Linked DNA regions of Alligator mississippiensis. The protein of the gene in region 1 interacts with the protein of each later gene in a pairwise test. Links are inferred from orthologs where the notes say so. Each region holds a gene or a part of one and is shown in the gene's direction. Other genes may lie near its edges.

Region 1 (15,117 bases):
TCCGCCTCCGGCCCCCAGCCGGACCCGGACCCCGCCGCCGCCATCTTGGAACGGCTGCACGTGACCCACGCTGGGACCATTCGACAAGGGGGGGAAATAGGAGAAAAAAAACAAACCACATGGTTCCTCGCAGCCGAGGGAGCGCCGCAGTTTTACCCCCGCCACAGCCCGGCATTGAATTTCCCGCTGTTATGATACCGCGGCAGCGGCTCAATGCTGCCCCCGCGGCCTGGAGAGGGGTGGTACACTCCGTCCCGCCCCGCTCCTCACTAGATTGGCTCCCTCACAAACCCGCCTACGCGAATTGGCCCCATCAAACCCCACCCCTCGGCTGGCAAGATTGGGCGATCTTCAGAACTGTCGGTCTGCCCCGCCTTATTCTGTTGGGAGCGAGGAGGCGGCCGAGGCGAGCTGGCTGGCAGCGGATTGGCCGGCACGCTGCCAGTCGCGTTCCAATTGGTGCCGGCGCCCACCCATCTCCTGGTTCTTTCCCTCCCGGCGCCCCTTGCGGTGCCCGATGCCTAGCAACAAGAAGCGCCGGCGGCTTTCCCAGCGTGCCTCGCGCGCCTGCGGCTTGGCCTGCTTTCCCGGCGTGCCTCGCGGCCGGCACTGGCTTTTCCCGTCACCGCCCGCGGCGCGGGGCGCTCCGGTGACAAAATGGCCGCCCAAGGGGAGCGGGGGGAGGCGGTGCCGCGGGGCCCCGGCGGGGAGGGCGGCGGCGGCGGTGGTGTTAATGTTTTTGCAAACGATGGCAGCTTCCTCGAGCTCTTCAAGCGCCGCATGGAGGCCGAGCAACGCGGACGGGCCGCGCCCGACACCGCGGGGCCCGGGGCTGAGGCCGGGGCCGGGAGCGGCGCTGAGCAGCCGCCGCAACAGCAACAACAGCACCAGCAGCAACAGCCCCCGGCGGCGGCGGACGGGAGGAAAAAGAGCGGCGGCGCGCTCGGCTTCGTAAGACCCCGCTCTCCTCCCCCACCTGCCCCCGACACTGCGGCGGCCCCGCCCTTCCCCCACCTGCCTGGGCCGTCCCGTCCCCAGAACTCCTGGCTCCTTCCCTACCTGCTTCTGACTCCCCTTCTCTTGCTGCCTTCTGGTCTGTGCCCCTTCCCCCCATCTTTGACTTCCCTTTCTTCTTGCCCATCTTTCTTTTGCTTATTTGCCCCGGCCTCCTTCTCATCTGTCTCTTCCCAGCATCTATTCCTGCCTCTCCTCCTACCTCCCTCGCTCTGTTTGCAGTGTCTCTGCCTGCCACTGTTCTGCTCTGCTCTTCTGTTCCCCCTCCCTGTTCCTGCTGACAGGCTGCCTCGACCAGCCCTGCCTGCCTTCATCTGGTGCCCCAGCAGTTGGAGGGGGGGCAGGCCACGGGCAGGCGCGCGTCCCATAGCTCTTTGTCTGGCAGCTTTCCACAGAGCAAGTGCCCAGCTCCTGCCACCACTTTGTGGTCGTAAAGCCCAGCAGCTGCCTCACCCTGGGGGTGAGTGCTACGGCCAGGGGAGGCACTTCCAGGGGAGAGAAGCAGTGCCTGAGGGGATCTGCTTGAGCTGGGAAGCTAGAGATCTCTCTAGGAACAGCACTGGTTCAGGCCTGGGCTGACTTTCCACTCCCACCCTCCCAGCCTTCTCTATACCATGGCACAGGTAGTGCCAGCAGCAGGGGCACTCGTAACATTGGCTGCTTTCTATCCTTTCCCAGGTTGGCCGGCGGCGAGGGGGCAACAAGCTGGCCCTGAAGACGGGAGTGGTAGCAAAGAAACAAAAGATGGAGGAGGAGGTAAAAGGGGGTTGGGGGGGGTGGCTGGGATGGCAGGGGCAGTGTTTCTGTGGCTACTTTGGGAAGTCTTACTCCTGCTTCTGGTGCCTCAATATGCCTATGTAAGTGTGACCCTGTTCTCCTGTGTGATTGTCTGGGAAGGGCCTAAGGTGGGGGTGAGGTAGCTAAGCTTGAGCAGAGACCCTGGCTCAATGCACTGAGGTTGAACTGGGGTCCCTCAGCCCCTGCTTTGATGCCCATGCTGGCTCCAGGGCAGTGGGGGACACCTGGAGCAGCCCCAAGGTTGCTAAAAGCTGGGTTCCCATTTGGGTATGGTTGAGGGGGGTGGGGAGAGGCATTGGACCAGGGGCTTTCCTGGTGTGTAGTAAATCCAGGAGATGGATGGATTGGGTGCTGGGGCTCCTGGCTTCCATCCCCAGCTTGGTGGGGAAGGGGTCCTTCCCTCCGCTTCCTAGCTCTGGGAAGGGAGCAGGACTGGTGGTGGTGGGATCTTGGGGAGGGGTGGTCTTCCTGCTGCTGCCAGGGCCCAGTCCCTCTTTTTTCCCCCCTACCCACCCACCCACCCTTTTTCTGTGGTGAAATGTGGCTCTGGGCTTGGCATCTGAGCTGCCCTTCTCCTTCTGCAGGTCCTGACGAGTAAAGGGGATGCCTGGGCCAAGTACATGGCTGAAGTGAAGAAGTACAAGGCTCATCAGTGTAGTGACGATGACAAAACCCGCCCCCTGGTGAAGTAGCTGCTTGCTGTGGGGCCTGGCCTGGTCTAGATCTAGCCCCAGCCCTGGTCGCCAGGACTTTTGTGTGTTGTACATACTTATTTAAGGTGGAAAGGCGTGTGCTGCCCCTCGCCGGTGCCTCCCTGCCCAGCTGCAGCTGCCTGATGATGGGGATCCCTGTTTTCTATGACTCTCCCAGGAGCCAGGACTCCGGCGCTCCCCCCTCCCCCCCTGCCAGTGCGGCTCCCCGGACAATCGCATCAGTGGCCCATGGCATAGCCTGCCCATCCTGCTGGGACCCAGCTTCCCCCTGCCCTCTTGTTCCCTCCGTGCTGGAGCAGGGGCAGGTGCTGCATTCATTCCCAGTCATTAAAGACCTTGGATCTTCCTAAGCTACTGACTTCTTTGTGGAGGTGCCTGGTGCTGTACATTCCCTGCCTGCACCCAGGAGTCAAGGGGTAGGTGCTCCCAGGCTCCTGCAACTGCCTCATCTGTCTCCTCTTCATCTGGAGGCATCGGTCTCCACCCCTTGGAATCACCCAGCACCTGCCCTGCTTGGGGGGAGCCCAGTCCTGCCAGCCCGACAGACCCTGGCAGTGACAGCTCCAGCCACAGAAAGCCTCAGTGGTGCGGATGGGACCTATTACATGAGAACTGCTTCTGCTGCCATCTCACACCCCCCTGGAGGAAGAGGATGGCCAGCCCCCAGAAACTCAGGCAGGCCTGGCTCCTTGGCTGTTCCAAGCCCTCACCCTGGATGCTTGTGGGGGAGCCCCACTTACACTGCACCAGTGATGTTGCTCTCTAGTGAAGACACTCCTCACCCCCCCACCCCCCTGTAGTGGGGGAAGGAAAAAGGGGGTATGGGGATCCCAGCCTATTTAGTCAAGGCAGGGGGGGCAGCTGGGAGCTACTGCTTGGTGCTCAAGCCTTAGAACAGCTTCCCCCCCCACACACCCTCCCCCACTGTACCCTTGGCCCCTGGAGCTCCTCTTTTTTTCTCCTGAATTTTTCTGGCCCCTTGTCCCTAAGGGAGCCCTAGTACACCTCAGCAGCCCCCATATCCTTGTACTCTCCTCTGCACCAAGCCACCCATGTGTTCTTACTGCACCGGCTTTTTAAAATAAAACCCCGTTGTACAGACCCCGGCTTGGTGCCTCCTTCCCTGGCATGTGGTGCGGGCAGTTCTAAGTCTGAGCTCTGCTGTACCTGAGGTGAGTGGCTTTCCACAGAGGAACTGACTCCCCCTGACACTACTTATAGCAAAGCTAGCTGAGCTGGGACCAAGTGGCTGCAGATCACTCCCTGCTGAGATGAGGATGGGGTTGGGATTGTTGGGGGCAGGCTGCAGCAGCAAGGAGACCATCTATCTGGATGCAGAGGGAGTGGGGACCTGGCCATGAGGTCTGCCTAGGGAAGACCTAGGGTGAGAGGGTGCCAGCCAGGGAGGTGGCCCCATAGCCAGGAGAGTGTCTTAGGGACCCCCATGGATTGGAAGCATCTAGGATTGAGATGCCAGGAGCCCCTAGACTTTACCCTCTGTGCCCAGTCATTGCCTTGCTCTGGTCCTGGATTGCCCTGTTCTCAGAGCTCCCTCCCTGGCTGCAAGGTGCTGGCTATAGTCCCAGGCTGCCGGCTTGTGTCCCTGCATGGGAGATGCCATGAATGCTGTGGGGAGGGTTAGAGGCCCTGAGCCCCCCAACCTTGTTTCCCATTTGGTATCTTCTCTTGGAACATAAGAGATGCCAGCTGTATGGGGGGTGGCCTATGTTGTGAAAAGGAGGCTGCTAGAGGAGCATGGAGCTGCTGCTGTTTCCAGCTGTGGTTCTGAAGGCAGCCTGATGTCTGAGCCCAGGAGTCCCAAGCACTGAAAGAAGGAAGCAGGTGGGTATTTGGGGGGGGCGGGGGGGATGCAGAGAGGGCTTTGTCCTGCCCCACAAAGGTACATGCTCTGGGGCACAGAAGCCAGGATAGTGCCTGACCCCCCCCCCCCCAACCCATCAGGCAGCTCTAGACAATAATCTTTATTGTGCAGCTCAAATATAACATGCATCCATCTCCCTTTGAACTCCCTGGCAAGGACCAGCTGGGATTGGGGCAGGTGGCCCCACGGTGAGAGCCAGGCCAGCAGTCACCCCCCCTTCCAAGCATCCCAGTCTGGGTAAGGCCAATTACTTGACAACTCATGGGGCAGCTGTAGGGGAAGGAGGAGGAGATGGGACTCCATATCTAAGGCAAAGATGCCCCTGGAACAGTGTGGAGTGGTAGCGCCATGGGGTGGGGCTAATGCTCATGACCTCTGAGAGACCCCATGGCTGCAGAGAAGGGGCTGCCTGTCCGGACAGAGGAGAGGGACTGGAGCCAGGACCCCCAGCCCTGAAGGCTGAGGCACTACAAGGCTGGGGAGGGGATAACGGCCAGGGTTGGCTTCCCAGGTGCACCAGGGCCTGCTCCCAGATCTAGGCAGGGCAGGTACCAGCCCCAGGGAAGAAAACAGTGTCCACCACAGGCTGCAAGCCCCATCTTCGACTCCAGCTCCTGGAGCTCAGCACCCCTCCACTAGACTAGGGGCAGGAATATGCTCCTCCCCCCCTCCCTGCACCCCCATGAGCTCCCCCAGGTTTGGCTTGGGGCTGCTCCTCCCAGAGGCACCTGGGAAGAGAACTGCCTCATCTAGCTTTTCGAAGCACCTGAGCCAAAAGCAGGGGTTGAATTAGGGCAATTGCAGGCATCTTTGGTGTCTTCTAGGTGCAAAAATCACCCCACATATGTGCCAGCAATGTTCTGTTTCTCTCCTCCCCTCCTCCAGCTAAGTCTCATAGGAGGAGAGCAGTGCAGCATCCACGGGCTCCATGCAGGATGGGCAGGTAAGCGAGCGCATGAGCCAGTCATCAATGCAGCCCACATGATAGGTGTGTAGACAGGGTAGGAACCGCACTGGGTCCCCATAGGCGAAGTCCAACATGCAGATCACACACCTGTGGTGGGGGAGGCAAGGTGTGACCCACAGGCTAGGGACAAAACCCAGGCATCCTGAGACTAGCAAATAAAAGCAGACGCCTCCCACCCCCCACCAGGTTTTATCCCCAGCCCTGCCTCCCCACATGGTACCTGGGTTGTATCCCCAGCTTGGCTTCTGCCCTGCTACAGGGCTTAGCAAGGCCCAAAGGAAGAGAACAAGGGCAGGGTTTGGGGCTCCTCTCCCCACCCCCAGATGAGGGCTGGGCTAGTGGGGAGAATGGGCAGAGCTGGAGGACACTTACTCCTTGGTTTTCCGGTCAGTGGGCTCAGTGCCCAGGTCAAAGACACCTGTGGGCAGGTGCTGGATGAGGCCGATGCGCTGGGCTATGCGGACCTGCTCCTCCTCGGTCAGCTGCGTTGCCAGGCACGACTGCCCAGGCACAGAGTGGTATGTGGGCACTGATGCCTGCTCCTGGATGGGGAGGGACCAAGATGCATATTATAGATGAAGCCCTATCCCCAGATACTACCCTGCAACTTATGCAAGAGGGGGCCCAGAAGCCCCCCCACAGCTGCCCCCACCTGATAGGGATGCCCCCTACACCATACAGGTTAGCACCACTCTGCCCTTGTAGGCTATGCCCCTATTCCTACAGGCCATGCCTCCATGACCCTGTCCAAGTCCCACACCCCATGACTGTCCATAGGCTATGCCCCCTCCCTCAGGAACCATGCCCTTGTCACCCAGCCACATTGGCCACGCCCATGACTCCACCTACAAACTACACCCTATGCCCCACCCACCTAGGCCAGCTCCTCAGACCCCAGCCACCGAAGTCAAACCTTTATGCCCCGCCCCCCTTTAAGCCATGCCCCCATCGCTAATGGCCCCTCCCCCCCACCTTCCCCCTCCCAAACTCAGCCATCCCTACAGCCACGCCCTTATAAGACACGCCCACTTCGTCGGCCACGCCCCCTCTAATGGGCCCGAGGCTGCTCCTCCCGTTCGCCCCCGCCCCCGGGCTGTTCCGCTGCGGGCGCCCCCTCTCCCCGCTGCACCTGGTAGGGAGGCGGCGGCGCGGCCCCGGGCCCCAGGCTTGCGCCGTCGGCCGAGTCGTTGAGCAGCGAGAGGTCGTCGGCCGTCTGCGATGACAGGCAGTTCCCCATGCCCGGGGCCGGGTTGGACGCTGCCACCCCCGGCCCTCCGCGGGGGGGAGGGGAATGTGGTGGAGACGCCGTTTTCCTCCTCCCCCCGTGCCTGTCGAGAAATGGTACCGCCCACGCGCCGCGGAGCAGCCTGGGAAACACAGTCCCGGAGCTTCGGAAGGCGTTGATTCCGCGCATGTGTGCGGACGTTCGCTCTGGCCCCGCCCTTTCCCTGACCACGTGACAGCCTCCTCCCGCCGCGCGCGTGCGCGCGCTTCCCGCCCCGCCCCTGCTCCGGTCCCTGCTGTTCACGTGGTCTCGGCGGACGGCGGCCGGCTGGGGTCAGCGCCCGCGTGTCGCGTTTGCCTCGCGCCGCCGCCGCCTCGAGCCCGGGCCGCCGCCACCACCAATCCCCCCTCCCCCCTCGCACCCCCTAGCCAGGTACGGAGCGGCTGGGCCGCGGGGGCCTGCTGGGATCGCCCCTGGGGATGCTCCGCGTGGGCCTGGGGGCAATGGGGGTCTGGGGTGGGGGGGGGGTCCCTTAGGTGCGGGGGAGCTGGAGCTGGGACTTGAAGCCAGGTTTGGGAGCTGGGGGGGTTCCTAGGGGTTGTAGCTAGGAGGAGGGCAGAGGCTGGGAGTCAGGGATTTCCTAGGGGCTGAGGCTCTATCTTAGGGCTGGGTGGGGTTCCCTAGAGGCTGGGGGTTGCTGGAGCTGGGCACTGTGGTGTCTCCCTAGGTTCTGGGCTGCTCTGTTCCAGAGCTGGGGGAATCCCCTAGAGGCTGGAAGCAGGGGTCTGGGCAGGGTGGAAGCTGGGGTGGTTCCCCTGGGGGTGCTCTATTCCAGGGTGGGGGATGGATCCCTTTGCATCTGGTGCCTGGGAGTGGGGGGATTCCCCTAGGATGCGGGGGGCTGAGGGGGCTCTATCCTAGAGCTGGGGGGGCTGGATCCCAGGATGGGGGAGTTCCCCTGGTGCAGAGAAAGCTTGATTCAGGGGCAGTGAAGGGGTTGCTGTGCAGCCAGCTTGGGTCATGTGGGTTAGGGGACCTGGGGTTGGGGGTGGCTTTGGAAGTCCAGAGGGGAGTGAAGTGGCTTGGAGACTGGGTTTGTGGAGCAAGGGCTTGAGGGTCTGATTATTTGTGGAGTGGGAATGAGAGGAGGCCTGGTCCTGGGTTTGGAGAGCTGGGGGAGAAGGTCAGGCCAGCTGGGAGTGTAGGGGACTGAGAGGGGTAGCTTTGTTACCCTGGGGATTAGAGAGGCTGTGGGTTGGGATCTGGGGTTGAGGTGGGTATGGGTGGGGTTGGGGGTGGCAAGGAGGAAGTGGGATGTCCAGGTTCCCATGTGGCTGTTGTGTGGGGGGATGCCACCCCCCCTTCTTTCCCTGCAGCTGGGGCCAAGGGAGAGCTGGGGAAACTCCCCATGCAGTCCCTGCTTATCCTCCAGATAGGTTTCCTTTTTCTTCCTCCCTGTATCCTGTACCCCAGCTGCCATCTCTGGCCCTGGTTTCTCTTACTGTCTTGGTTCAAAGCTTTCCCTGTTCATGAGGCTCCTTGGGGCAGCTGCACATATCACCCCAGCTGTGGGGCCTGGTTGGCTTCAGCCTGGTCTCACCCTGGGTCTTTCCCAGGCTGGGGGCCCTAGCTGTGGAGTCTTCCTCCTGCTGCCCTAAGCCCCATCTGTGCTCTGTGGCTAGAGGGGCTTGCAGCCATGGTCATTGCTAGGTGTGGGGAGGCAATGGGCCAGGTTGGCTGGTGGTAACCACTCTTTTCTTCTCCTTTTCTTACCACACAGTTGCAGCTACCCCCTGCCATGGACTGGCAACCAGATGAGCAGGGGCTGCAGCAGGTCTTGCAGCTGCTCAAGGACTCACAGTCACCTAACACGGCCACGCAGCGCATAGTCCAGGATGTATCCTTAAACCAGGGTTTGATGCCCAGGGTCAGAGGTCATGGGAGGGCTGTGGGCTTGTAAGCTGGAAGCTATGTAGCTAAGGCAGGGGATATTCCTGTGCAGGGGAAAAAGTGGGTGTTGTGGTCCAGGCCAAGCCCAGAGGGAGGCAGAGCCCCAGCTGCCTTCTCCAGACCTAGATCTTTGGATCTTAACCCAGCACCACAGAAACTGAAACAGCTCAATCAGTTCCCAGATTTCAACAACTATCTTATCTTCGTCCTGACTAGGCTGAAATCAGAAGGTACATATTAGGCTTGGCCATGTGGGGAGGGACACAATGCTGGGGAAGGGGCAGTGTCTCAGACTGGTTCGGGGCTTGTCATGGCCCCCAGCATCCAACCTGGGCTTCCAGGTGGGGTGGATGCCAGGGGGCAGCTGGTCCTTAACTGGTATCTGGGCTGGGGGCATGGAGGATAGAGCGAGACCCTGGCACAGCTGCGTGGAGCTCCTCCCAAAGCAGGGATGCATTGGCTGGGACATTTCAGCGTGGCAGCACCTGGGAGGGCTGGCAGGATTTACAGATGCGTGGAGCTCACCTGGAGCAGGGACACATGGGGTGTGGGAGAAATATCATTGTGTGGACACCCTGCTTGGCAGCTAATCAGACCTGACCTTGCTATGAGGTTCTGCTACCCCTTGAGGTCCCTGGGAGGGAGATGTTTGGGGCTTGGACACGGTTTCCCCACAGGTCTGGGGGTGGGGTGGGGTGGGGCTGTTACTGGTGATGCTTTGGGGATGATGGTGCTGCAGGGAGCCTCAAGGCACCAGGGCTTGTTACTTTCCATAGGCTCTGGGTTCCCAGCCTGGCAGAGGGTGGGGGCTGGAGGCCACAGTCACAGAAGCCCCATGGTTCTCTTCCCCCCGGTGGCACAGATGAGCCAACGCGCTCCCTCAGTGGGCTCATCCTGAAGAACAATGTCAAAGCTCATTACCAGAGCTTTCCACCGCCCGTGGCTGAGTTTATCAAGCAGGAGTGTCTCAACAACATTGGTGATGCTTCCTCCCTCATTCGCGCCACCATTGGTGAGAACTGGGGAATTGGGGGCCCTTGGCAGGGCTTGGTGGGGGTGGGCTCGGGCTCGGAGGCAGCCTGGGGCTGACCTGCAGCTGGCCTCCACCTGCAGGAATCCTCATCACCACCATCGCCTCCAAGGGGGAGCTGCAGATGTGGCCAGAGCTGCTGCCTCAGTTGTGCAACCTGCTTAACTCTGAGGACTACAACACCTGCGAGGTGGGGGGGTGGGTCTGTGTTCCCAGCTGTGGGGACATCTGAGGCTGGATCACTGGGGGCTGGAAATGAAGGTGGAGGGAGCTGGGTCATCAGGGCAGGTGTCTGCATCTGCCAATTGTGGGGTGTGGTATTGGGGTATGGGATAGGATAGGGAGAAGGCTGGGTTACCAGGGCAGGTGTCTCTGCACTGGCCAGCTAAGGGCTGGGGCACTGTGGGTTGGGGCTGGAAGGGGATGGGGTTGGGGGAGTGTGGAGTCTCAGATCTGGCTATCAGACTGGCTGTGGAGTGCTCCAGTGGGCTTGGCCCACTTGATTTTTGTGGCCATTATCCCAGTTCTAACCCCATTGTGCGGCACCCAGGGGGCCTTTGGGGCCTTGCAAAAGATCTGCGAGGACTCGTCGGAGCTCTTGGACAGCGACGCCCTCAATCGCCCCCTCAATGTCATGATCCCCAAGTTCCTGCAGTTCTTCAAGCATTGCAGCCCTAAGATCAGGTGGGAGTGCTGCCCACAGGCTCCTGGCTGGCTTGTGTGGGGTGAGAGGGCTGGGATCCTGCTGATTTTTTTTTTTTTTTTTTTTTTTTTCCCTTCCACCCCCCAATGTTATCTGTTCCCTGGGCTGGCATCAGAGCCTTGGTGCAATGAAGGGAAGTTGTCCAGCAACACCCCACCCACCCACTAACATGTATTTATAACTGATCCTTCCCATTCAGGTGTCATCCAGGTGAGGTGGGGGAGGGTCTTTGATTGGTGCCATGGGGTCAGCTCCTTCCCCACGTCTTCCCCAAGGCTCCTCTCACCTCAGCACAGCCTATGGGGTAACTGAGGCCTTGTTCTGGCTGTGTGGTGGGCGCAGATGCCCAAGCCCTGACCTGACCTGGCCGGGCAGGTTGGGGGGAGCTACAAGAGCCTGAGCCATAGTCCTTGGTCTCCACCTCCCAGATCCCATGCCATCGCTTGCGTGAACCAGTTCATCATGGACCGGGCTCAGGCGCTGATGGATAACATTGACACCTTCATTGAGGTGAGAGTCTGGGGTGGGAAGAGCTCAGGCAGATCTAGTTTGCCTTCTCCCCCTGCCCCCGCTACCTCTTCAGGGCCTGCCTGGTGCTGTGTTCCCTACCCCATGTGTTTTCAGACTGGGGGGAGCCTGTTCCACGCTTGTGGTTGTGATGATACAACAGCACTGTTACCCAGACGAGAGGCACCTGTTGTCTCCTGTTGTCTATGGGCTGTCAGGGGTCATGGGATGGTGAGGGCTGATACCTGTTCTGTGGCCCTGGCTGTTGGGGTCTCAATCTTGCTGGAGTGGGATGGGGTGTCCAGGGCATCCCTGTGGCCTGCAGTTGCTCCCAGCAGCCTGGTACAGGGTGAATCCTTCCAGCAGACATCCCTGGGAGGGCAGGGCTTGACAACAGTGGACTCCAGGTAGTCTCAGCTCTGCCTCCTCCCCCTTCCTAGCACTTGTTTGCTCTGGCGGTGGATGAAGACCCTGAGGTTCGGAAGAACGTGTGCCGGGCCTTGGTGATGCTGCTGGAGGTGCGGATCGACCGTCTCATCCCACACATGCACAGCATCATCCAGGTGAGCCTTTGCTGGAGGAGGTGGTGGGGGAGGAGTGTGATCTGTACTTGAGGCCATGGGGCTGACCCACCTCAAGCAGGGGGTTGGGGCCAGGCCTGCTGGGGGTGGGGGTCCCAGACAACTGGCTCCTTGCCTCAGTTTTCCAAGGCCTCCAAGCTCTGACCTAGCTCTGCCAACCACTGCAGTTCCTTCGGGGCATGGAGGGATGTGGGCCTAGCCCTGGGGGGAGGCTCTAGGGCCCTGCAGCTGGATGATGACATGCATGGGCAACTGGTGCTATCTTAGTCTGAAGGGGGGGAGGCAATGTGCTCTGCCCCCCAGCAACCAGTCAGCGACTGGGGGGTCCCCTGCAGCCAATCACACTGACTGGAGCTGATCGCTGCAGCTACTTCCAGAAGTGGCTACGGCTGCTTCTGGGAGCGCCGTGGTGCTCTTACTCCCCAGCTGGCACTTGCAGGGGGTGCGCCGGCACTTCCACCTGCCCCCCCTACCTGTCACCTAAGCTGTGAGCGTGGCTGGTCAGGGGGTGCACATGCACCTCCTATGCGTCACCGCCAGTGACACAGTTCCATCTCTCCAGTACATGCTGCAGCGCACTCAGGACAGCGATGAGAATGTGGCGCTGGAGGCCTGTGAGTTCTGGCTCACACTGGCTGAGCAGCCCATCTGCAAGGAGGCCCTGACTTCTCACTTAGTACAGTGAGTCCCTGCCTCCATCCCCTCCCTGCTGGCTGGGGTGGGGCTTTACTGGGCACTGCTTGGTGTGGGTGAGGATCTGACCAGTAGCCCAGATGTCTGGATTCTCTTCCCCAGCTTCAGGATGGCAGTGAGGTTTACTGGGATAGATTTAGGGGGAGGGGAGTGGAGTCTGGGAATTGGGACCTTCTGAAGTCCCTCCCCAGCTCTTGGAGGGGCGTAGGAACTGGTGGATCAGATTGCAGGGGACTCAGAGCCCAGACACCTGGGTTCTCTTCCCTGGCTCCAGGAGGATGGTGGGGTTTGCCAGGATTGAGCAAGGGTTGTGGGGTTGGGAGTCAAGATTCCTGAGGTCTGTCCCCAACTGTGGGAGGGGAGTTGGACTGGGAAATCAGAGCAGGGGAGCTTGGTGGGTTCCCTCCTGGCTCTGTGTGGGGAGTGGGGTCTGGTAGGTCACATTACAGGGGGTGGGTGGGTAGGAGCCTGGATGCTTGAGTTCTTCTGAGAGTGGGTGTTCTCCCAGCTGCAGCCCCCATGCTGCTGGAGGAGGGGAAGGGTGTGAAGGCTGGACCTGCCTCTCTCTCTCTCTGAGCAATGTGAAACTACCCCCCTCTCCCATGCTTGGGTCGGCAGGCAGTTCCTCCCTCTCCCATCCCCCCACCTCCTACAGTGGTTCCCTCCACGCTGACTCCTGTTCTTGCAGGCTGATCCCCATCCTGGTGAATGGCATGAAATATTCAGAGATTGACATCATCCTGCTTAAGGTGTGTGGGGCAGCCAGGGGTCTCTGCTGCGCGCCGCCACCCCCCCCCACCCCCCCACCCCCGCTTGCTGTGCTCCACTGCCCTGGGGCTGACACCCCATAATACACACACAGGCCCCCCCAGTCTGGGGTCAGCCTCTCCCTTGGTCAGACCTCTACTTTGCCAGTGGGAGACGCCTGCCTGGTGACTCCCTTAAGTAGGGCAGTAGGCGAGTCTGGGGAAGGGAAGGGCCTCCTGGAAGTGATGAGCAGCTCCTAGCCTGATCCTGTGATGGAGTTTGTATTCATACTGTCTGATCCAGAACCCCAATCCCAAGAAGTGCCCAGAAGGGGTGGGGGGAGGTGCAGTGGCAGGGGGCAAGGCTGATTGCCCCTTTGGCCAAGAGGGAGTACACAGGTTCCGGGGCCTGATCTCGGGGCTCTGTGCCTCGGTTTCTCCAGCCCATCGTGTGTTGGGGCTGGCAGGGAGGAGGGGGAGAGCTCCTGGTGTCCTCCCACTGATGGTGCGGCACCGCACAGGGTGATGTGGAGGAGGATGAGGCCATCCCAGACAGCGAGCAGGACATCAAGCCACGCTTCCACAAGTCGCGCACGGTAACACTGCAGCACGAGGAGGAGCGGGCCCAGGACGGCGAGGACGGCGACGATGAGGACGATGATGATGACACTCTCTCGGACTGGAACCTCCGTACAGGCTGGGGTGGCAGGGGTCTGGGGATGGAAAGGGGTGGGAGAGGGGATGGGGGCAGGGTTCTGGGGAGGGCAGGGTCAGATACCTGAGGGGAATGGGGGTGAATCCAAGGGGTGGGGACAGGGACAAAGAGCCCTGTGGGCCAGTGGGGTGGGAGCAGGGTCTGAGGAGGTGTGAGGGATGGGGACATAGGCTTGGGGGAAGGGAGATACAGGTGTCTCCTGCCAGGCCTGAGCTCAGCCCCATGTCCAGCTGTGGCTGGTGGGGGGGCAGGGCATGTCAGGGTTCCCATGCTAACTGCTGCCTCCCCTTCTCCCCACCCCAGGAAAGTGCTCTGCAGCTGCCCTGGATGTTCTGGCCAATGTGTTCCGGGAGGAGCTGCTGCCCCATCTGCTGCCTCTGCTCAAAGGACTGCTTTTCCACCCCGAGTGGGTCATCAAGGAGTCGGGCATCCTGGTGCTGGGTGCCATCGCTGAGGGCAAGTGCTGGGCTTGGGGTGGGGGTGAGCAGGAATTGCAGGCCTGGGGGAGAGGAGGAAGCTCCTTGCCCTCTTCCTCCCTGCCCCTTCCTCTCCACCTGGGGCAGAGGCATAGCAGGGTTCTGGAGCAGGTGACGCAAAAGGCAGGCAGTGAGCACATGCCCCCCTGTTGATAGTGGGCTGGCAGGGTCTGAAACCTGCTTCCCAGGCCCAGTGCCCCTCACCTGTTCTCTACTTTCTGCTTCTTGTCTTGTGCTTCAGAGCCCCATCAGCTGCTGTGCTTTATATTTGCTGCCGTGCTCTCTGTCCAACTGACTGCTCAGCTTTCTGCCCCCTGCCCTGTGCTCCCTGCCCCCATGGGCCTCTCTGCTTTCTGCTCCTTGCCTGTATTCTTTGTCTGCTCTGGTTTTTGCTCCTTGCCCTATCTGCTGCTGTGCTGACTGGTCCCTCCCCTATCTGCCATGTGTCACACACACAGACTGCCCATGCCACTTGGTGCATCTTTGTTGCTACTCCTGGGTTATGGATAGAGCCTGCTGCAGCAGCGGTTCCTTGGCTCTAACTGCAAGGGAGGGGTGGGGAGGTCTCAGTCCGAGTTCTAACCGTATGCCCCTGCCTACCCCCCCACCCCAGGCTGCATGCAGGGCATGGTGCCCTACCTGCCCGAGCTCATCCCACACCTGATCCAGTGCCTGTCGGACAAGAAGGCGCTGGTGCGCTCCATCGCGTGCTGGACGCTAAGCCGCTACGCGCACTGGGTTGTGAGCCAGCCCCCTGACACCTACCTCAAGCCCCTCATGACCGAGCTGCTTAAGCGTATCCTGGACAGCAACAAGCGTGTGCAGGAGGCAGCATGCAGGTGTGTGTGCGAGTGTGTACTTCCACATGGGGGGGGCAGGAAGGGAAGGGTGGGTGCACAAGGATGTGCAAACCCATGTGGAGGCACATGTGGGTGTGCCCCCAAGTATGGGGATGCATAGAGGCGTGTGTGTATACACGTGTGGTGGCAAGTGCAGGCATGTGTGCACAGGGTGCGTGTGGGTGTGTGTATTGGGGTAGATACGGATGGATGGGTGTGTATGTCTGCGCACATGGATGGGGGTGCATGTGAACCTCAGCACTATCATGCAGGCTCAG
Region 2 (14,886 bases), on another chromosome or scaffold:
TAGATGAGCATCTAGCTGGGGTCATCTAGACCCAGCATTCTTTCCTGCTTATGCAGGGGGTCGGACTCGATGATCTATTGAGGTCCCTTCTGATCCTAACATCTATGAATCTATGAAATTATGAAGGAGCCTTGGGCCAAGCGTGAGCTGCCATTCTTATTAGGATACAGATGGAGATGGAACAGCTGATACAGTTGTTGCTGCAGCAGTAGGCTACTGCTAATGAGCAGGCCCAAAAGCAGGATAGGAACTATGGGGGTAGAGGACAAAGCCCAGAGAATGGACATGGGAAGAAGAGCCTCACAGCAGAACCACACCCTGGGGGCCAGGCCACAGAAAGTGCAAGACCCTTTGGTAGAAGTTGCTTGCATAGTTGGTCCAGCTACCAAAGTAGCACCCCTGAAGTCAACAAAGGGGAACATAGATGCCACAGAGTGCAGCCATGACAGAAGAGGTCACCAAAAGGGAAGGGGGCAGTGACAGTCCCAGCCACAGCAGAGAGAAGCAGAGAGGAAGTCATCAGAAAGGGAATTGTGGAAATCCCAAAGCAGCAGAGAACACCAAGGACAGTGAAAGGAGTTCTAGAGTTAGAGGCAAGTCCATCTACAGGAGACCACAGTGAGTTCCAGCTCGAGCAGGGGATAAAAACTTGGGCAATAAGGAAAACATGACCTGCAGAATTGCAAGCAGCCCAACCTCAAAGCCAGGTATTCCCCCTCAGAGAGAAAAAGGGTGGCTGTCTTAAAATTGGGGACTGGGCACTGGAGATGGAGTTGCTCACAGACTGAAAAGAGAAAGCCTTGCACTGCTACTAGAACAGTTAGATACTGGGAGTAAACAGGGAGTAAAAGGAGTGATGAATGAGCTGGAAAAGCTAACTAGCTGGTATAGAAAGGCCAAAGCAGAGAGAACAGAAATTTGGAGTCCCAAGTGGAACCTGGGTGCCACAGCCATGAACAGACAGAGGCAAAAGCAGTGGCCTCGCAATGCTACATCATGCAGGTAGCAGTGGGGCTAGAGAGGGCTCAGATAAATCTGGCTGAAGCTCTACAGAAACTGAAACAAGCACAGGAAAATGATGAGAAAGGTGGGGTAGGGGGCCCAGAGCTATGAGAGGCAAGACTGGGGCCAAGGATTTTAGAGCCTGAGGGTTGAGACCAGGGTCCAGGCAGTAAAAAGTGGGGCAAGACCAGGGGGCCTCAGCCCAGAAGAGGGCGTAAGACCCGAAGCAAAACCTCTCTATCCAATTATCACACCAAGGCATGGCACGAAAGACACCAGGTGAGACCCTGGGAGGCCAGAGGAGGGGAGCAAGGCAGTACCCAGGCAGCCACTAGGGGTGATTTCACCAGACCAGAGCTGGACATGTTACAGTCTCATTAATGTGTATTTACTCAAATTTATGCAAAATGTACGTGTGCTTGTTTGTAATTGGAGGAAACAGAAGGTATGCTGCTACGTCACGTTTGCTTTCTTTTCTGCACTTTCTCCTCCCTTATCTGCCTGTGGTTTCTTTCCTGTCTGTGGTGATTGCTGCTGTGTGTATAAGTTGAGGCATCCTCTGTATTATACATTGCTGAACACACACTGCTAGTGATGAATATCTAGTTTAAATCTTCTACACCTGGTAATTTTTTTCCCCCAAGGGAAACATCCTTGTTTTGTATTTTGCATTCAATTAATCTGGCAAACGTACATTTCTAGTTGTAAACATCCCTTTACAGTAGGTTATACAGCATTACTAAACTAAAGTTGCCATCTTTTCTCTCTCTCCCAGGATGAGCTGCATAACAGAGACGAACAAAGTTTTAGACCCTAATTTTGTAACTTGGGTACTGAAGTTAGTAGCAATTTCGGGTGAATATGAAACCTAAATTTCCTTTCCAAATTGTGGCTTTAGGTTTAATTTTTAGCACTTAGCTTCACACTTTGGACAAAGTTTGCATATTACAGTTCACAGTGAAGTTATAATTAGAATTCAAAGAGTACTTTTACATGCTTAAAGTACTCTGCAGATAATAATTATGGACATGAATGTCACTAACAGAAAAAAAACTAGACAGAAAGATGAAATGATGTACCATAAGCAATAAAAGGAACAGAATCAGGATTAGAAATATACATGAATGGATAAACATATCTATCTATATGCTACATTTAAAATGATAGTTTAAAGAAAATTGTTAAGGTTGTCAGAATTCAAAAGCTGAAATGGATACAGAAATTATGTACTTTGCAAAAGCCCAGTTTGGGTAAACAAATATCCTCAGTGACTGTTTCAAAAACATTGAAAATTGCATTGAAAATAACATTTAATAAAGATAAAGAAAATGGTCTATTCCAAAAATTAATCCAATTCAAAACTTCAAAATGTTTTCCAGAATTAGTTATGAATTTTTCAATCAATCAGTAAGCCAAAATTTAGTTTGCCTGGAAAAACCTACTTTGTGTCTACAAGCTGTTCTTTACCTACTTGGCCGCCCACTATTTTTTTCTCAGATTTTCTGCTATATTTAGTGCACAAAACAGACACTGGTCAGGGAAAGTGGCAGCCCTTCAAAATCTTTTTTTGTCTTAATCACTGAACATGTTTCCTATGTGATATGTACTACACAATTCACCCCAATTATGTGGCACCATTACATTTTGTGGCATTTTCCATGAGGCTCATTAACACAGTATCTGAGTCTCTCAAATATTTTGTATTCATATTCACACCTACTCTGTGGGACCTTGTGTTAGGAAAGTGTTAAGTCTGGTCCAAAAAATGATGTACAAGAGGCAGAAAGGGGGTGTGGGGGAAGGAGGAAAGAGAGGGAGAGGAGATGGGGGCAATGCTGGGAGAGGCAAACAAGCAAGCAATAAACCCACAGGAACAAAGGAGTCACAAAAGCTAATCCAGGTACTGCGATAAAAATCCATGGTTGGAAAAGATTTTCAAACTGCTTTAGAAAATGTGCAAAGCTGTCTACGTCTTTAGGGTAACTCAGTGATTGGATGCCCAATTCTACACACTCAAGACTTGTTTTCAAAAACTTCCTAAAGCATCCACTGCTTCCATTGACTTATGTTTGAGTTGTGAGCCCTTAGGCAGATCCTGCTCAGGACTTCTGACGTTGGACATTCAGAACATGGAGAGAGACCATTTGTAATCATTTTTATTGAAGTGACAGGCCCAACAGTTTACAAATCTGTAGCACAGTCAGAGACACAATCTGGTTCTTAATCTCAGTTGACTGCCTTACCCACCAGAGCGTTCTTTGCCTTAATCCTGGAGCACCTATTTTCTACACTAAATGGAGCAGGAGTTGCACAATGACCTTTGGTGCCTGACACTTTGAAAGCAGCAAACAGGCAGCAGCCAGGTGCCTGATGAGGGCAGCCATTTCAGCCTGGGGATATAAACTGGGCTGCAGATTGCTGCAGGAAGGAAGGAGGAAACATCAGGCTGAGAGGCTGCTCCAGCCAGTCAGGAGGTAAAGGCAGGAGGTATGGGGAGGAGGTAACCCCTTGTCCTGGGTAAGATGTAAAACTGCACCCTGCTGGGGAAGGGTGGTCTGGTGGGGCTCCTAGTGGTGTGGGAGCCCCCACGAAATGCCAGGCCAGTTACCTCCCTGATGAATGGCAGGTCAGGGCACCTTATAACCCCAGCCCCCCATCTCTGGTGGTGCTAGCAAGCAGGGAGAGTACAGGGCTTGGTCGAGGAGCCATGAGGCAGAGCTTGGGCTAGAGGAGGGACCAGAGGCTACAGCCAGGTGGCAGAGGAAAGCCTGGGGGCATGAGTCAGGCCCCGTGTGAGAGGGGCGATGAGTAGAGCGGCCCATGAGTGTGGGTGAGTGAGGAGGCCCAGTGGGAGTATAGTGGTCTGGTGAGGGGCTAGGAGTGAAATAGGCCTACAGTCATACAATGGCTCAGTCAATACTGGAGTGAGGGTAGCAGGAGATACCCAATAGACTGTGCTGGGGCTGACCGAGGTGAGGAGAGCTATGCCTGAAGCTGGGTGAGGCCGGGCAGCATGAGTGTGGCCCCTGAGAGAGGGCAGTATGAAAGAAGCTGGGTGAGAGCCAGTGGAGTGAGTGGGACCCTGGTGAGAGAGGAGTGGTATGTATGTGAGTGGGCCTCCGGGGCTGTAGAAAAGAGCTACAACTGTGTGTCCAGTTTGCTATGGCCATAGGCCGAAGAAGTAACACCTGCGAGGCATGGGATCTGTGGAGGGAAGGTCGGAGCAGGTATTAGGCCCTTGTCAGCAGGGTGAGAAATGGGTAGCCTCCCGCCTTAGTAACAGCTTTCATATTTTTCCATTAAGGTGTGGCAGACAAGTGAAGCGAGTGGTTACCCCAGGAGCAGGGCAGGTGGCGAAGACCTGATGAGGCAAGCCTGTTACAGTCCTCATTTATTGTACAACCATAATACATTTCCTAAGCACCATTTATCTTAAGCACTGAATGAGATTATATCGAAGAAGAGAACATAACATCATCTCGGTATTATCAAAGATAGTTGTTACATGTACGCCTAGGAATCAACCAAGACTGGGCCCCATTGTGCAGAGTGTACACAGACCTTTGTTACTTTTCCAAGCCCCTGAATCCAGCCAGGCTCCAAATGGAACATTTTATGTGCAAGAATCCCAAATGAAGCAATGAGACATGGTTGTCTCTGTTGTGGGGCATGTCGCCTTGTTAATTAAGATGTTACATAGCTTGAAAAAGAAAGGGAAGCCTGCCTTCAAGCAAAAAAAAAATCTTACATTAGTCCCAGTAAGGAAGCAGTGCCATGTAGAAGTATTGGAGCTTGCTCTAAGTTGTCTACATACTGCAGAATGGATCTCTGCATGGACTAAGTTACCTCATGTGCAGCATAGACATGTCCTACAGTAGAAAAGAATTGCCCTAGCTGAGAGATTAGCAAAACTGAGGTCATCATCTGGGTATGATTCATAGATTCATAGATGTTAGAGTCGGAAGGGACCTCAATAGATCATCGAGTCCGACCCCCTGCATAAGCAGGAAAGAGTGCTGGGTCTAGATGACCCCAGCTAGATACTCATCTAACCTCCTCTTGAAGACCCCCAGGGTAGGGGAGAGCACCACCTCCCTTGGGAGCCCGTTCCAGACCTTGGCCACTCGAACTGTGAAGAAGTTCTTCCTAATGTCTAGTCTAAATCTGCTATCTGCTAGCTTGTGGCCATTATTTCTTGTAACCCCCGGGGGCGCATTGGTGAATAAAACCTCACCAATTCTCTTCTGTGCCCTCATGATGAACTTATAGGCAGCCACAAGGTCGCCTCTCAACCTTCTCTTGCGGAGGCTGAAAAGGTCCAGTTTCTCTAGTCTCTCCTCGTAGGGCTTGGTCTGCAGGCCCTTGACCATATGAGTTGCCCTTCTCTGGACCCTCTCCAGGTTATCTGCATCCTTCTTGAAGTGTGGCACCCAGAATTGCACGCAGTACTCCAACTGCGGTCTGACCAGCGCCCTATAGAGGGGAAGTATCACCTCCTTGGACCTATTTGTCATGCATCTGCTGATGCACGATAAAGTGCCATTGGCTTTTTTGATGGCTTCGTCACACTGACGACTCATGTTCATCTTGGAGTCCACTAGGACTCCAAGATCCCTTTCCACCTCTGTGCCACCCAGCAGGTCATTCCCTAGGCTGTAGGTGTGCTGGACATTTTTCCTCCCTTGGTGCAGCACTTCGCATTTCTCCTTGTTGAACTGCATCCTGTTGTTTTCTGCCCACTTGTCCAACCTATCCAGGTCTGCCTGCAGCTGTTCCCTGCCCTCCGGCGTGTCCACATCTCCCCATAGCTTTGTGTCATCTGCAAACTTGGACAGAGTACATTTCACTCCCTCGTCCAAGTCACTGATGAAGACATTAAAGAGTATCGGTCCAAGGACCGAGCCCTGCGGGACCCCACTGCTCACACCCTTCCAGGTCGAAACCGACCCATCTACCACGACTCTCTGGGTGCGACCCTCCAGCCAATTCGCCACCCACCGGACTGTGTAGTCATACAAGTCACAGCCTCTTAACTTGTTCACCAGTATGGGGTGGGATACCGTATCGAAGGACGACATCCACCCCTCCTCCTGTGTCCAGGCGTTTCATAACCTGGTCATAAAAAGAGACTAGATTGGTCAGGCACGATCTGCCTGACACGAACCTGTGCTGGTTTTCCCTCAGCATAATTTGTCCTGCTGGGCTCTCGTTAATGTGAGCCTTGATAATTTTTTCAAAGACTTTGCCAAGGATGGAGGTGAGACTGACTGGCCTATAGTTGCCAGGGTCCTCCTTCCTCCCCTTTTTGAAAATGGGGACCACGTTGGCCCTTTTCCAGTTCTCCGGGACTTGGCCCGTGCGCCATGAGTGTTCAAATATTCCCGCCAGTGGCTCTGCAATTATGTTGGCCAGTGCCTTCAGCATCCTCGGATGGAGCTCATCCGGGCCTGCCGACTTAAAGGCATCCAGTTCTTCCAAGTGAGCATCCAGTTCTTCCAAGTGAAGAACTGGATGAAGAACCCTAAATGTAAAGAGTCATCTGAGGACCATTAGATCATACCCTATGACCTCCTGTGTATCGCCGGCCATTGTATTTCACTGCCATATTTAACTCACTAGCTGTTTCTCTATTAATAACCAGCAGTAACTAGACTGATACTGTATTAATTTGTATTGATCCTAAATATAAACCAAGAGTTAATGACCCTAGGCACTGCACACATACATAAAAATAAATTACCTGAATGCTGGCATTTTCTAATCTTTGCAACCTTAACAATGTCCTTTTGTAGATGATACACATATACACACTCATACAGTCCTGTTACACAGAGGAGCTGTGAGGAAGTGTGATGCTCAGTAAGCCCAGAATCTTTGGAGAGGGCTGTTGCTGAAAGTGAAGCTTCACTGAGCATCTGGGAACCTCAGCTTTTCAAAGGGCTGATTCTCACAGGGACAGCAAAATGCCACCCTGCTGCATTGGGCTGCTCCTTGCCAAATGTCTAGTCCCTGTTTCAAAGGTATGGAGGCACCAGACCTGTTTAAAAAAGCCTAGCAGATTTCTTTCAAACATGGAAAAAAAATGCCTCTCTCTCCAGCCTCCTTCTCAGAAAAAGCTCAATTATTTTGGGTGAAACATTCTAATTAAACACTCAGCCCCAGGCTAACACCTCACATGGAAAACGTCAGCCCAAGGGTTGAAGCATGGCAATGTTGCAAGTCCCTGCATGTTCTGATCTTATGAACAGGTGCAGTGCTATGAGCCCCAGCAATAATACCCAGCATGAGAAACATACACGTGAACCTAGGGAAACCACAAGCTCTTGCCCAGGTTTTGGATAAGAGACAAGGCATGAGAAAAGGCACTTTGCTTCCAGAGGCACAAGAGATAGATAGATAGACAGATATAGATATTTATCTTTTCCAAGGTGACATCTATTTAGCTATCACCTTAGAAAAGATAAATATCTATAACTAGATATATCTCTATATATGTATCTATCGATCTATATAACTGTCTATATCTATCTATATATATGTAGCTATCAATCGATTGATCACTCAGTACATATATAGGGATATATATAGATATATAGAGAGATATTTATCTTTTCCAAGGCCAAACCAGTTCCAAATTCGATTGGGCAAAGCCCAATAGCTAAGTTCCAAACTTCGGCTAAGTAGAGCTCTGTTGCCAAGTGTGTGTGGCATCCTCACTCCCAGACCCCTCTTTCTGAGGCTTTGGATACATCCCAAATCCAGGCAGGCATCCGACCTGCCAGCCCCAGGCCTGGATACCTTGATGCTCACGGTCTCCCTTGATCTTAGCCAAAGCCTCAAGGCACCTGGGCAGGCGCTGCATAGAAATCCACACGCAAATCCACCCGGGCTCCCATCCCCACGTTGTGCTAAATACTCCAACACAAATGACATCCGCCCACCAACTCATCGCAGCTCCCCACGCGGGACGTGGTTAGGCCTCCCACTGGGCAACGCGCCCCCTTCCCCACCTTCCCACCCAAGCCGAGAGGAGATCTCGCGAGACAAGACGCAGGCGGCTTCTCTCCTCTTTGCTTCGCCGGCCGGAGGCTGCGTGCAGACAGTGGGTTTATTATGACGCCACAGAATGGAACGCTGCGGAGGGCGGGCGGAGCCACCGGGGCGGGGGGAGGGGGTGGGGCGCTGCAGCAGGAGACCCCCCCCCGCCCTAATGCAGCCCTTGCCCAAAGGGGCGCGAAGCAGGCAGCAGGCTCTGTCGAGGGGGCTCGGTCTGAGGCACTAGCCTGCGCCTGTTGCCTTGCCCTGACTCCCACCGGTTGAATCCCGTGCCTCAAAAGCAGCGGGGACCCCAGGACACAGCCCTGAGCACCTCCCCCCGCGCCCTAAGGTGCTCCCATGAGGGGAGCGCGCCCCGCCGCTTCCCCGCCTGCGAGGCGGCGTCACTAGAGGGAGTCGTGGGACAGAGAGAGCGGTGGGAGGTGCTGCTGCCGCCGTCACCCTCCCCTTCCTCTCGCTCGGGCAGAGCTACACGGGCTGTGACCCGGCGCCCCCGCCCCGCCGCCTCCCCTCTCCCCGCCGGGCTCGCTCTGCCCGTCGCCGCCGCCCCGCGCGGGGCTGAGCCCGGGGGGCAGGACGAGAGGAGCGGGCAGCGCGGGGGGAAGGCGGCGGGAGGGACTGAGGGAGGAGGAGAGGCAGAGCCTCCAGTGTCGCCGCGCTCATCCTCCCGCCTCCTTCCGCCGCTGCTGCTGCTGCCGCCGCTGCTGCTCCCGCTCCCGCTCCCTGTCTGCTGCGGAGGCCCCGGCGGCAGCCCGGGCTCGCGATGGCTTCGACCACTACCTGCACCAGGTTCACCGACGAGTACCAGCTCTTCGAGGAGCTCGGGAAGTAAGAGCAGCTGGGGCTGGGGGGGAAAGGGGGCGCGTGGGGCAGGAGGGAAGTGAATTAGGGCGTTGACAGGTCAAATGGGGGGCATGCAGGTGTCTCTGCACGGCACCTGGCTGGGGGTCAGCTCCATCTCCATCCAGACGGCAGCCTGGGGGGCACCCCACGAGAAGGAAAGTTCAGCCCCGGGCTGAGAAGGGGTTATTTGTCCCTCTGCTCTGTCAGGTCCAGAGAGGTGAGTGGCACGAGCCCTCCCAGCATGCACAGGGCCCTGGGCTCCCAGTGCCTGCCTCGCATTGGGGAGCCCCCAATGATATGGAGGCATGCCCTTGCCCGGATCCCATTTGGCCTTGAAACATGGAGCCTGGGCGGGCAGATGGCAATGCAATGATGCTAAGGCTCCTGGGCAGTGTCACGGCGGGGGGCATCAAGACCTTCTTGCTAGCCACGCCAGTGGGCTCGGCTCCCGATACCCATTTCGACCTAATCGCCATGTTCAGAGAGCTTTTTTGGTGGTTGTGGTTTCCCACTGATTACTATGTTGCTGCCTGTCAGGGAAGAGGAGGGGAAAGATACATGGTTATGTGTGTGAGCCCCCTCCGCTGAAACAGGACTTGAACTGCGTACTGACAATGATGGGACTTGGGCTCCCCCGCTTGAAAGAGCATTTTTTCCAGTTGCAGTCTATCAAATTTGTGGTGATTGCCATTTTTTTTGTCCTGGTCATTTTCCTGTCTCTTTCCAAGCATTTCATTCCAGGCAGGGAAAGCATTGAAATTATTTGAGTCTTTATCCAGGATGACTGATTCTTGTCTGGTTATTCATTTGCAGGGGAGCTTTCTCAGTGGTGAGAAGATGCATGAAAATTACCACAGGACAAGAGTATGCTGCCAAAATTATCAACACCAAAAAGCTCTCTGCTAGGGGTGGGTATATTTCAACCCAGCATTTTCAGTGTCTCCCCCCTCTCCCCAGTCCTTGGGTTTTTTTGCTTAAAATAGCATTATGTGAACCCCTTCCCCTTCTGTCTTAATTTTTTAGTCTTCCATTTCTCTAACATGCCGCTTAGATTTTTCTCTTCTGCTGACCGACTGTATTTATGAGAGTGCTTCTCTAGCATGCTAGCAGGAAAGATGGATGGATTCTGAGGCAATTAAAAAAAACAAACCCTTCTGCTTTCAGTTTTGCATACAGACAAGTTTGAATATCGGTCTGGCTTTCCTCCTCTTTTTAGTTTTTGATAAAATAAGTTCTTGCCGTAGCTCTTGTAGAAAAAAAAATAGGTCAGAGCTTAATTGAATCTCATTTTTCGCTGTATTTAAACATGAACTTAATTCATCGAGGCATATTTAACAGTGAACGCCTTCAGAGAAAAATGTGATCAACTACACATGCAGTATTGTGTATTACAGAAGAAGTGGATTAGTCATAATTTTATGAAGTGCTTTATCACTGCTATAATCCAAATGCTTAACCCGCTTATTTATATTTTTTCTTATGTATGCATGGGTATGCATTTTATAGCTGTATGTGCAGTCAGTATATAGGTGTTCATAGTATATTGGAGAAACTATGGGCTTACCATGTGTTAAGACTGCTGAAAGTAGGCCTTCTGGTGATATGTTTGTGCCTTGATAAATCCACACTAAAGTGCTTGTAGTAGGATGTTGGGGATTAAGGATTATTCTCTGTCAACATTATCTGCACTTTCATGTGAATTTATGCCTTTATGATGAACACGGAGATGAATGAACTAACATTGTCAGTGTGTAATATGGCCAGGTTTACTCTTTATATGAAGGAAATGCTGCAGATGGACAGCAACCTGATAACATTCATTAACTTAAAAAATATACAAAGTTTTACTTACAATGACATACTTGTTAACTTTTATTGCTGTTCTAACTGGAGAGGGTCTTTCAAGTTTTCCATTCTATAATCTAGTTTTTAGTTCAGTAGAGGACTGTAAAAGTTTACTTTTCCCTTTATACTGAATATTTAACCTCAAGTTCATAATGTGAGAGAAAGGTGTACAGGTTATTATGTGAGAGAATTATTTTTTTCCTTAGCTTTTTAAAACCATATTTTGAGCCAATCCCCGGTCATTGTTATGGTTTGCTTTAAATGGTTAAGAATATTAATAACATGATTTGAGATGTGTTTTTCACTGTTTTTCTTAAAACAGATTTTGATTTTGATTCCACCCCCCCATAAGTTGTTTATTTGGAAATTTAAAAGTACAATAAGCAAAATACTGATAGTTACAAAATATTTTAAGTTTTTTATGACTCTTGATTGAGAGCTAATAAGGTCAGGATCAGTTTGTTAATGAATTAAGGCTTACATATATCGCATTTATAGTTTCTTTAAAAATATATTGAAGAAACTGTATTAAGGTTGCCAAGACTGCCTTAAACTCCAGTCAAGGCAGTCTGAAGTAAATGCTTCTATTTTATACTTTCTGTACAGTTTTGTGTATGAGACCATGTTTATTCCTGGTGTAACTTTTAGATTGAGTGGAATTATACCATGATGAGTTTAGCCCATATATGTAACGCAACAAAATTGCACACAGATTTTGGACTCTTGCTTTTTCTAGGAATTCAGAACCTAATTCCCTTGTTTTTGGTGGAATTAAACTCTAGAGCTGGATAATGATTGTGAGCACCTCATTTTCTGTAGGGACACTTGTGCATACGTGATGTGTTATCAATGGGTGTAAATGAGTATCATGGGGAGTACTGTCTTTCTAGCACTGCCTGCAGAGCTTTGTACCGAAAATTGCCACCAGGATGTTTTGCTTGCCAATTCTTTTTCAATTCTGTGCTTCATATCGTGACATTAGCTGTGTATATAATAATTCCCTTATATTTTGGTGTGTACACACACGCACATGCCGATATACACAGATATGTCCATTTGCACATATCTGTAAGGTTACATGCACTCAGTCTGTTTTGTCAGGTAGATAATTCCAGGGTAATCAATAAGGGTATTACTTTAAGGCAGAGTTTAATAAGGACTTTAAGCATTTGTAATTTCTAGTATATTTAAAAACATTGTTATGGTGTGTCTATCTACAAAGTTGTCTCCTATGACACAGAAGCTATACACTGAAGAGCATCAAACTGCAATATATTTTATCATGACCGATATGATAATAATTTATAGATTACAGTTTAGATACTACTTAAAATTGTAACATTATTTATCTGTTATTTTTTATAATATTTTTCATTGTGAGATGGAGCAATTTCTTTTCATCTGTTCTTACTATAATTAATAGATTTATCTGGTGCTTGAAGTCATGTAGTCTGCTCTTGTCTTTGTAAATCTAAAGGACACTTCATAAAATGAGCTTCGTCTGTCTGTAGAGAGTACACACAAGACCCTCTGCTGTGAGGGAAATATACCCTCTAGTGACTGGCTCTCATTGATGTAGTTTAGCTAAATTCACATTGTATGTAGCAGGCCTTCTTCTGAACCATTTTTTAAAGGGATTTCAGCAAATAATATGGGGAAATGTACCTTCTTTGTTAAAAAGAGTTATTTATTAACAGTAATTTAAGACGCTTTCATTCTGTCGTGGGTTTCTATTAGTATTGTTCAGTCATAACAGCGCTTGCCCCCCACATGTATTTTCTTTGAACTTATCCGAGCAGTCACATTCGCCCAGTGCAAGGTACTAATCTGGTTACAGCAAGTTGTTGGTAAATGTGTTCTCTCTCTAGTTTTCATAAAAAATAGAACTTTTTTTACACAAAAGTTTTTTAAAAGACTCCTGTACATACAGTGGTGCATGTCTTTTTGGTGGCTTGTTTACCCATTTTCCCCAACACTTTCTGTTTCTACCACTTTTTATTCATGGCCATTTTTGTATAATAATGTAACATGTTATAACAATTTATAACAATATATGTTAACCGTCATCCCTGCTTCTCAGAACAGTTTGATTTTCAGATTGATGACAAATTATTTCTTATACCTGAAATATGCCTATTTATCACACTGCTATCTAAACTTCAATAGAAAAAACTACTATTGTTGAAATAAGGTAATACTATGAAAAAGAGATGTGAATTTACATGGTTTGCTGTATTATTAAAAAAAAAAGAAAGACATGCTGTCTTTTATGAGTTCTGGGATTTTCTGCTATTTTGTTAATTTGAAATACTAATACAAGCATAATATGAATAACAAATAATAGTAATCATTACAATTCACTTTAGCAATAACATTTGTTAGCTATATGTTACTTAATATTTATGTTTCAGAATTCATATTACAAGCTTCATTTGGAAATTGTAGTCTTTTCAGGGAAGAGTAAATTTAATTTGGGTTGTTGGAAAAAGAATAGTAGGCTTTCATTACCAGAAGAGTGCATTCTAACTAAGCTTGCCTACATGAATATACCACAGATGGACAAAAGCATGTATGACTTGCCTTCAAAGGGAAGTGGGATAGTGAGCAAGCATTATGGGGAAAAAAAAAAGAAAAGAAGAGCATATTTTTGCTGCATTTGTCTTTTATGTTGCTTCATCTTATACAGAGGGTTCTTATATGTCCAGTTATTTTTATTAAAGTGTGATCTGAGTGTTTGTTTAGAGCTGTTCTCTTTGTGGCTATATAGCAGGATGAATAAATTGTGCTTCTTCGAAATGTGTTCCTTGACTAGGCCAAACCAATAAAAAAAAATTTAAGAAAATTAGACACCTCATTTTCTTAAATACTTTTTATTTACAAATCTTTTTGGTTTTTTGGCCTTGTTCCTACAATTAACTTTATTCAGACAGATCTTCCTGCTTTTGTAGATTGTGTTGAGGGATTGGGTCCTTAGTCTTCAACTACAGTGTCTGTGGTTCATGGACAATAAGTAAATAATATGAGACATTTTGTTAAGATTTCTGACAATCTCTGTAATTGCACTGAAAAAAAAATCAGTTTGCTCACAGATTTTTTGTAGCATTCAGCTTTTCACTAAATGTAAATTTGCATTAGGGCGGCAATTGCCAAAAATACTAGTTATTGGCTGCCTCTGTGAAAAGAGGTTGGTGGTAGAGTCCAGTTCCTGGTGGTCTTTTTTCATTTTGACCGTCAGTTAGCAGCCCCTCACACCACTCCACCATTTTTATTGTTGCAGCAGAAACATGAATAGACATCTGCTGTCTGTGCGAAACAGTTATATTAAGAAAGGTGCAGGTATCACTTGGGGATTTCTGGTTCTCTGTCCATTAGCCCTAAACCAAAGAACACCAAAGCCCATGAGAGTCTTTCCATTATATTTAATAAACCATAGAGACTTTGACTACTTGCTTATTATCTTTCTCAGCAGGTCTTCTCCCAAATCCTTTCGGTATCTTCTCTCTCTTTTTTGGAAGGGAAATACTGGTTGCTTTATACTAAGTGGTGCCATACAGGGCCTGAGGTAATGAGACAAATTGTGCATTCCTGTGACTAGCTCCAAAAGAGTATTCAAGCTTAAAGGACACCCTTACCTTCTTGGAAAAACGATTTGATGGGAGAGTGTGCAGACTTTTGCCATGTGGACAGAATGATACAATGTCTAAATCTGTCTGTGTAAAATTTTTTGTGATCCCTGAAGTGATTTACAATACTGTAGGGAGACAACTGGTAATGTGAAGCATATAAAGAGAATTTTTCAGCACAGTATTTCATGGTAGAAAGGGAAAAGTTTTGTCATGTTACCAGACCACTGGTCTGTTTAGTCAGGCATCTTGTCTCTGCCAAAGCTGGGTGTTTCATATGAATCCAAAACCTTGTAGAAATATGCCTAGGAATCCAGCACTATATTCTACATGGCAAAATTTCTTCTTGACCCCAGCCCCTGATCATTTTACTCCCTGAAGCATGAAAATTAATAGACTGTGGACTTCTGCCATTTTAGTATAACTGCAGATGCTGTTTTTATTCATAGTCATACCTGTACCCCCCAAAAAAACAAAAATAAAAACCCACAACAACCAAATAAAGCCTGATCATATA

The links.
Region 2: the proteins of TNPO2 (region 1) and CAMK2D interact in binary tests that used the Homo sapiens proteins (3 or more experiments, as listed by UniProt). The two-hybrid records come from large-scale screens. The link is inferred for Alligator mississippiensis from reciprocal best matches to the Homo sapiens genes TNPO2 and CAMK2D.

Annotation. Positions count from the first base shown.
Region 1 is NC_081831.1:22,830,397-22,845,513, forward strand, and holds the start of TNPO2 (transportin-2), read left to right. Parts: upstream 1-6,892; 5' UTR 6,893-7,031; intron 7,032-8,379; 5' UTR 8,380-8,397; coding exon 8,398-8,496; intron 8,497-8,703; coding exon 8,704-8,779; intron 8,780-9,411; coding exon 9,412-9,561; intron 9,562-9,662; coding exon 9,663-9,769; intron 9,770-10,129; coding exon 10,130-10,263; intron 10,264-10,710; coding exon 10,711-10,792; intron 10,793-11,229; coding exon 11,230-11,352; intron 11,353-11,932; coding exon 11,933-12,051; intron 12,052-12,751; coding exon 12,752-12,812; intron 12,813-13,330; coding exon 13,331-13,499; intron 13,500-13,827; coding exon 13,828-13,980; intron 13,981-14,613; coding exon 14,614-14,839; intron 14,840-15,117. Other genes in the region: ATPase GET3, read right to left, coding at 1-80; TRIR (telomerase RNA component interacting RNase), read left to right, coding at 658-951, 1,400-1,474, 1,693-1,770, 2,397-2,504; RING finger protein 11, read right to left, coding at 5,293-5,461, 5,747-5,916, 6,504-6,611. UniProt on the Homo sapiens protein: Probably functions in nuclear protein import as nuclear transport receptor. Serves as receptor for nuclear localization signals (NLS) in cargo substrates.
Region 2 is NC_081825.1:124,905,535-124,920,420, forward strand, and holds the start of CAMK2D (calcium/calmodulin-dependent protein kinase type II subunit delta), read left to right. Parts: upstream 1-8,283; 5' UTR 8,284-8,821; coding exon 8,822-8,886; intron 8,887-9,714; coding exon 9,715-9,809; intron 9,810-14,886. UniProt on the Homo sapiens protein: Calcium/calmodulin-dependent protein kinase involved in the regulation of Ca(2+) homeostatis and excitation-contraction coupling (ECC) in heart by targeting ion channels, transporters and accessory proteins involved in Ca(2+) influx into the myocyte, Ca(2+) release from the sarcoplasmic reticulum (SR), SR Ca(2+) uptake and Na(+) and K(+) channel transport.